2 linked regions of the Macaca mulatta genome follow. The protein of the gene in region 1 binds, or shares a complex with, the protein of each later gene. Links are inferred from orthologs where the notes say so. Each region holds a gene or a part of one and is shown in the gene's direction. Other genes may lie near its edges.

The links.
Region 2: the proteins of VASP (region 1) and PFN2 are in contact, whole or in part, in a crystal structure (PDB 2V8C), measured with the Mus musculus proteins. The link is inferred for Macaca mulatta from reciprocal best matches to the Homo sapiens genes VASP and PFN2. Residues at the interface, in NP_033525.2 of Mus musculus: Gly165, Pro166, Pro167, Pro168, Pro169, Pro170, Gly171, Pro172, Pro173, Pro174, Pro175, Pro176; in NP_062283.1 of Mus musculus: Gly3, Trp4, Ser6, Tyr7, Asn10, Cys13, Tyr30, Trp32, Met131, Tyr134, Ser138, Phe140.

Annotation. Positions count from the first base shown.
Region 1 is NC_133424.1:58,036,528-58,040,442, forward strand, and holds the start of VASP (vasodilator-stimulated phosphoprotein), read left to right. Parts: upstream 1-1,484; 5' UTR 1,485-1,777; coding exon 1,778-1,782; intron 1,783-3,915. UniProt on the Homo sapiens protein: Ena/VASP proteins are actin-associated proteins involved in a range of processes dependent on cytoskeleton remodeling and cell polarity such as axon guidance, lamellipodial and filopodial dynamics, platelet activation and cell migration.
Region 2 is NC_133407.1:52,984,360-52,988,174, reverse strand, and holds part of PFN2 (profilin-2), read left to right. Parts: intron 1-459; coding exon 460-605; 3' UTR 606-637; intron 638-2,861; exon of another isoform or gene 2,862-3,815. UniProt on the Homo sapiens protein: Binds to actin and affects the structure of the cytoskeleton. At high concentrations, profilin prevents the polymerization of actin, whereas it enhances it at low concentrations. By binding to PIP2, it inhibits the formation of IP3 and DG.

The DNA of each region.
Region 1 (3,915 bases):
ATTGCTTGGACCCAGGAGGGGGAGATTGCAGTGAGCCGAGATCGTGCCAGTGCCCTCCAGCCTGGGCGACAGAGGGAGACTGTATCTCAAAAAAAAAAAAAAAAGAAAGAAAAAAGAAATTAAGTCTACCCCTTCTCCCAGACAACTCAGCCTCAGGAGACACACTGAGAAACAATGATAACCTCTGAGGATCAGGGTTCAAGATCTCCCAGAGTGGGGTGGAGAAGGGGAGGGTAATTAATGTCAGAGCTTGGCCTGTAAGGAGGAAGTGCTCTCCAGGTAAAGGAGGTCAGGAAAACATCCGGACATGGGACTCGGCTTGGAAATACGCTGGAAAAGTGGATTCTCTCACCTAGTCAGCTGGCCCTGAGAATTGTTGGTTTTACACTCAGATCTTGGTGGCTTTCCGGGTTCTGGGGGCTCAGGCAAGAGGGTCATAGGCCAGATTCATTCCCTGTCTCCAGGCCTCAGTTTACCCATGTGTAAACGTGAAACTGATTTCCCAGGGCCTCACCCGGGCCCTCACCCGGGCCAGGTGGCGCTCTACCCAAGGGGCGCGACCACATCAGTGACGTCACTCGGGGCGTGGCCGGCAAGACACGCTGCGGAAGCCTCGGAGGGTGTCTGGGCTCAGCCTGGAGCCGGCGTGTGGGGGCGGGGGCTCCGGGGAGGGTCTCCTCACCTCCGGGCCCTCCTGAGGGCTGGGATGATCCTGCTGTCCTCCGCAGGCGAAACTGAGTCAGAGCGGGGCGTACGTGGGTCGGAGGCTTTACATACCCAAGAAGCCGGCGCCTCCTGCCCACCTCGGGCGAATGCCAGGCCCCCAACTCCGGCACTCCTCGCCAGTCCCCACCTCCACCCCCACCCCACCCCCGACCCTGCGGCTGTGAGTCAGCGGCCGACCGCGCCCCCTTGGCCCACTTCCTCCTCACCTTCCCGGGGCGGGCGGGGTGGGGTGAGAGGGGTGGGGCCCTACTCCCCCCCACCTCCCCTCCCGCGCGGGTGGGGGGCTCGCCCCCTTAGTAACCCCTCCGAAATTGACAGAAGAGAGACGCTGGGGAGGGGCGGGGTTCCGAAGATGGAATTTCAGGGAGAAAATCTGAGACCACTTGCTTAACTAACTGGAGGGTCCTCTTCGACCCCCAAAATTGAGCGGAGTACGAGATGGAGAAGTCGATGGGGAAAGAAATCGTGCCCCTTCCGAGACGCTCCTGAGAATTCCCACAGTGGAAGCGAACTAGGGAGCAAGGGAGGTCGCCTTCCCCTTCACCAAGCTTGCCCCTCCATGTGGTGGTGACTCCCAGGGTGCACCCCTGGACGATAACGTTGGGGAGAGCAGCAAGATCGCGGAAGCAGAGGGTGCCGAGTTGCCCTTTTAAGCGCCCTCCACCCCCTCGCCTGGAGGCGCGCGCGGCCCCTTTAAGGCGCGGGGCATTGTGGGTGCGGGGAGTGGAATTTTGGAACGAAATGTAACGAAGAGAAGTACAGTAGTAAGAGTAACAGTGTAGCCGCCGCCGGCAAGGGGGGCGCGTCGGGGAGCAGACGCCGCATCCCCTTTCTGCCGCAGGGACCTCTCATCAGATCGCCTGAGGGAAGCGGCGCCCGGAGACCCGCCCCGGCCCGGTCCACGTTCTACCCAGGAAGCCGGACTCTATGGGGCGGGACCCTGGGGGAGCCTGAGTCGAGCCCGGAGCCAGCCCCGAACCCCTGAACCTCCAGCCAGGGGCGCCCCGGGAGCAGCCAGTCCGTGGGCGCGCCGCCCGCCCGCAGATCAGCCATGAGGTGAGCCGGACCTGCCCCCCGACCCGTCCCCGCCCGGGCGGGCTCCGCGCCCCGCCTTTGTCCCCCTCCCCCCAAGCTCGCTCCGGGCTGGAATTTGGGGACAGATCCTTGGGAGCCTCGGATTTGGGCTGAATCCCCTAGGACAAGCCCCAAAACCGTCGATCACTTCTCCACGACTGACTTCCCAAGCTCGGGGGGTGGTGGCGGTGAGGTTCCCCTGGGAGCCCTCAAGATTTGGGGACGCTCGGAGGACTCCCGAATTGTTAAGACTTTTTTTCAGAGGACCTCAAAGTTGGCAGCGACTCCCCGCAGGGATGCCAGGATTGAGGCAGGGCTCAGACTTTCCTCCCCCTCCCCCCAAACTTCAGCTCGAGGTCGGGGAAGGATTGTGGGGGACTGGTTTGGGAGACCCTGGGACTTGGAAGAGAGACTGAGACTCAGACCCTTGGTGTGCAGGGACCCCGTTTACGTGGTGCTGGAAAAAGTCTCCCCAAGTGAGACCGCGCTCCTGAACTTCGGGGGTACTTCTTAATCCCCTAAATTTTGGGGGGCACTTAGGTCTTCCTGTGGAAGAGGCTGGTATGAACCGATCCAGGGACCCGGACGCAGCCTCCGGAGTCTGGTGGGATTCCCCTCCCCCGTCGCTCCGCACGCAATCTGCTTAACAGGCAGTGCCTAGGACAGAGCGGGCGCTCGGAGCAGAGGGCGGCTCCCTGCCCCGGGCCATAAGGGCGGCCCGGCTCCCCCACCTGCGCGGCCCTGGGGAGGGAGGGGACGCAGCAGCTGGGGGAAGGGGGCCTTTGTCTTCCTGACTCACCTGTCGAGACAGCTGGTGTGGGGGGCGGGCACCGAGCGCTGTGGGCCGGCTGCCTTCCCCACCACGGCGCCTCCCCCTTTGCTCGCCGCCCCCCCCATCCATCCGGAGCCTTGGGGTTGGAGGAAGGGGAGCTGGAAAGCTTCAAGGTCATAGCCCTCTTCCCTAGGGACCCAGGCTTCCCAGATAATTCCAGCTATCTTCCCAGGAATTTAATCCTGGGGGCGGCGGCCCAAGGGACCCAGGGATTTGGTCTGGCCGGGGCCTCCCCCGAACTCCTGGACTCACCTGAGGGCGGGGCCAGTGTGGGCAGGGGGACCCAACCATCCTCCCATTCTCCCCTCCCCTGGCCCCCCATAATCTCTCCCATGGGGCCAGAGCCTGACAATACTATCTCCCTTCCTCCACTCTCTCTGGGACTTCCTGCCCCAAAGCCCCCAGCCTTAGCAGGGAGGCCCCTGGGGACGGCTGGGGATTAACCCCGTGGTGCCCACATCCCCTGCATTTCCTGAACCCCTGCCCTTTGACATCGGAGTGGAGTGGCGTTCCTTTTTATGACCACTAGAGAATTCCCCTCCCGCGTTTGTTCCTTCTGATGTGAAAGGCATGGCTGGAAAATTTGGAGCAAGGAGGACACCCACAGATACCCTCAAGACTTCCTGCCTATCCTATCCGCTCCCCATTATAGCAACATCCCTTCCAAGTCCGCCCTGGAGAGGGGTCAGTTTAGGGAGCGTCGCTCTCTTCCTTCGCCCTCTTCCTCCGGGACTCTTCTCTCCCCTTGCCCCCCAGCCCCGCCCCTCCACCCCCCTCGCGTTTCCGGTCCCAGGCTCAGTGGAAGGCGGATGGCGGATGTCCGAGTTAGTGCTGCCTCACTCACTGCAACCGTAAAAGGGCAGGAGTGGTGTCTGGGCCGGCCCCCTGCCCTCCCCACCACCACCACCACCACCACCAGCAGCCCTGGAAGCCCTGGCCCTCCCACAGGGCCCACCTCTTGCTGGGGCGGTGATCAAGCATCCCACCTTGTGGGGGTGCTGGGGTGGGGTGCAGTGCAGAAGTGACCAGATGCCTGTCCCACCAGAAGGCCACTCCCACCTTTCCAGGGGTCTCCCCTGCAGGTGGTCACACCCGACTTACTGGGCTGTGCCTCTTCTCCAAGGACAGCCAGGATTCAAAACCCATGCCCCTATTACCCAGCTGGGGAAACTGAGGCTCAAAGAGAAAAAGACATGGCCAAGATCCCTCAGAAATTCCTAGGCAATGTTGGAGGGGTGGAGGAACCTAGGATCCTCTGATTTCTGGCTGGTTTGGCTGGGGGA
Region 2 (3,815 bases), on another chromosome or scaffold:
CCCAGGCTGGAATGCAGTGGCACAATTTCGGCTCACTGCAAGCTCCGTCTCCCGGGTTCATGCCATTCTCCTGCCTCAACCTCCCGAGTAGCTGGGACTAGAGGCCACACCGCCACGCTGGCTAATTTTTTGTATTTTTAGTAGAGACGGGGTTTCACCATGTTAGCCAGGATGGTCTCGAATCCTGACCTCGTGATCTGCCCGCCTCAGCCTCCCAAAGGGCTGGGATTACAGGCATGAGCCACTGCGCCCGGCCGCAAGCATAAAACTTTAACATTCAGGTGATGGCCTACTTCAAGTAATATTACAGATAAAATTAGTGCCTGGGAATTTCTTTTTAATGGGCTTTGATCTGTTACATATAGTTTTGAGTCATTTCAGGCTCATCTTCAGGCGTATGTGAGAAGCAACTGACATCTGCTAGAAAATGAGTATTTTCCTTTTCTTGCTGGTTTCTAGATGTGAAATCTAATAAACAGCAAAGGGAGTACCAAGAAGAGTTTCTGCACTATCGTGGATTTTTCTGTGTTGAAATGTCGTATGACTTTAGATTTGGAGGCTGTGTTGGCAGACTGAAGTCAGCCAACTGGGGCCCTCCTACATAAGAGCAGAAGACATTCCTTAGGCAGCATATAAGGTAATTGGGATGCTTTTGCACTTTTTGGCTTTGTAGTGACATGTTGACCATGGCTATGTAATAGATTTAATCCCAGAGGCCATAAAATCCCTGATATGTATTGAAGTTTGGTAAATATGTAAATTTAGGGCTATTTGGATAAATCATTATTACCAACAACTCAAGCAGATGCTTAGAGCCAGGGGTGCTCAAAAGTTAGTGGGTTTCAGTAAAACTGGGGAGCTGGTTAGAAGGCAGATTATGGACTCTGGGGTTCCATCCTGGAGATGGAGAGTCCATAAGCCCAGGAATCCCTTTTCAGAAACAATCACTGGGTCAGTCTGATTCATTTTAAGTGGTGTTTATGCTACCTTTTGAGAAACGATGGGTTAGGGAATAGGAATTAATCTGCTTATACTATGCATGTGAAAGTTTTCTTTGGTTGTCAGGCATTGGTTGTGAATATGGCTGTACATACACAGGGATGTAAAAGTATGGAAGATAAAGGATCTGGGGCTATTTTGGTAGTTGGACATAACCTAGAAATTGTAAAACTATAATAAAAACCTGGTATCAGTTTCTTGACCTGTTAAGGCCAAAAGATTGGGCAAATGAAAATTTGGTGGTTGAGTTGTGATGATTTGAGATTTTACAATAATACACATTCACACTTCACTTGTAAAGAACTATTAGGGTAACCAATTATAGAAAGCAGTGACCAAAATTCTGAAACTGTTAATCTGTAAGTAGGTGAGGGGGCAGTGTGTATGTGTGTGTGTTCAGAGAGGAGGTTGGGGGTAGAAGGTGGTAAAGGGTGACTGTATCACTAAAATAGTATATAATGAAACTATTCATTGGCCCTCCACCCACAATTTCATTAGAAAAATACTTAGGGAAATATATACAGCTATACTTTGCTTTGTACTTAGTTCTAGGAATTTCGCATATGGAAATGAAGCTATACAAATTTGTATACCAGAATGTCCATCACACTGCATTACTTAAGCCATCCAAACTTGGAAAACATCTACAAGGTTCAGCTTTTTAAGGGGTATGGTTTGAATAAATGATTTTAAGTCCATAGGACAAAATAGTCATTGAAGAATGACATGAGAATGCTTACCAATGAATGTTAATGAGAATATAAACATGTTACATGACAGTGCACATACATACAGTATTAATATACATGTATTTTACATATGTATTTCTGAAGGCAGTATAGTTTCCAGGTGACTATATTTTGATTTCTAGTGTTTTAATGTTACTTTTGTAATCAAGAAAATTTTAAATTTTTAAATAGAAATTGGATTTTAATTGCACCTACTGTCCTATTCAAAAAGCTATACCATGAAATTACAGAACATTTCAAGTGAACATTAACAGAACCTAGTAACAGTCCTAGCCAGTGCTGCTAAATAAGACACTTCGTAGATTTTTTTTTTTTACATAAAATTAAAGTAATTTGGAATTTCAAAAAAAAAATTTTTTTTTTCCATAAAAACTCCTAACATAAAGGAACTAGGTCCTTGTTCTAAACTTTGGATTAAAGACTAAGGGAATATAACATCTAATACATACTTACCCATTACTGTGACTTTTTATTTTTTTCCCTTTTCCTATTTTAAAATACTATTTTAGGTTTGATGTTTTTATTTAATAATTATTTTGAAGACTATTACTTATTGCACATCTATGCACCAGATACTGAGCCCAACGTTTTGTCCTCACACCCTCACTTAGGTTAAATGAAAATTATGCAAATGACCAGGTTTAAAACGGTTAGGACCATACAATTATGTCCAGTTCCAAACTTTGCTTAACTACCGTGGTAACCTTTGATGTCCTGTTTCTCAGGCCTGTGGTTCTTTAATTTTTTATAAAAAAGGGGAAGAGGGATGAGGTATCAGATAGCGGATGTTGAATTCAACCGTTTATTTTCCAAAGTAGAAATACCTATTTTTTCCTGATTATGAACATTTTTTAAAAGGCAATTCGGAAAGTGAAATTTTCCCTCGATATACCATAATTTACAACAGGGTACCAAAATGTACACTGTTTATTTTTGGAATAATTTTGGCAGCAGTCTAAACTTTTGGGAGATTACCTAACTGCATGTGAATGGTCAGTTACTTTGTATAAAATTCTAGGGTGATGTGATTTCTCTGACCTCAATCATTATCCCTTTATAGGATATATATAAATAAGACTAATATGGTAAGTAAATGGTAGAACAGACATTTACTGGATCTTAAAGTGGAAAACATGTTTATTAACATTCAAACTCCCCTCATACAAGGCCATATAAAAATCCTTAGCATTTTGATTATACATTAGTCTACATTTTCTACATAGTTACAATGATGTATATAATTTAGCTTTTCATAATACAGTGTTTCAATACATCATTAGTTCTGTTAAACATAAGTCACTTACTTTCAAATCCAATACTTGAACAATTTCCTCTGTACATAGTTTAGCAGGGCTAATTAGCATAAGATGCTATTTATTAAGAGGTATATGATCTGAGCATTAACAGTTGCTGAAGTTTGGTATTTTTATGCAGCATTTTCTTTTTGCTTTGATAACACCACAAAACCCTTAAGGACACTGAAAATTAATAAGTAAAGTTCAGAAACATTAGCTGCTGAATCAAATCTCTACATAACACTATAGTAATTAAAACATTAAAAAAAAACGTGTTGAAATCTGCACTAGTATAGACCGCTCCTGTCAGGATAAGACTGCTTTGGAACAGAAAGGGAAAATACAGCTTTGAGTTTCTTTGTGCTGATAGGAGGAGGAAAGGCTGAGTTACCTTGTTGCCTCTCCCTAATGATTGGCAGGTCAGGTAAATGCCAGAACATACTCCAACTCAACAACTCTAGGTAACTTTATGGAGGTGGAAGCTGGGTTAGTTCATGCTAGGTGGCTGTCGCACTGACCTCATGTATAAAACACAAAACATTTAAATACTGTGATCTAGGTCTTAATTGCAAGCTATACTGAGGATTTTTTTTTTTTTAATGTTTTGGCTATACTTTAATTCCAAAAGAAGAGCTGAATTGATGCTTGAGTTACAGCACCAGTCTATTATTAGTGAATGAAGTACACTCTTGCAGATAAATACCAGATCAAAAGTCCTGTTTCAGTAATTTGATTAAACTGTAGAATACTAAAAATAAGTTATTTCTACAGA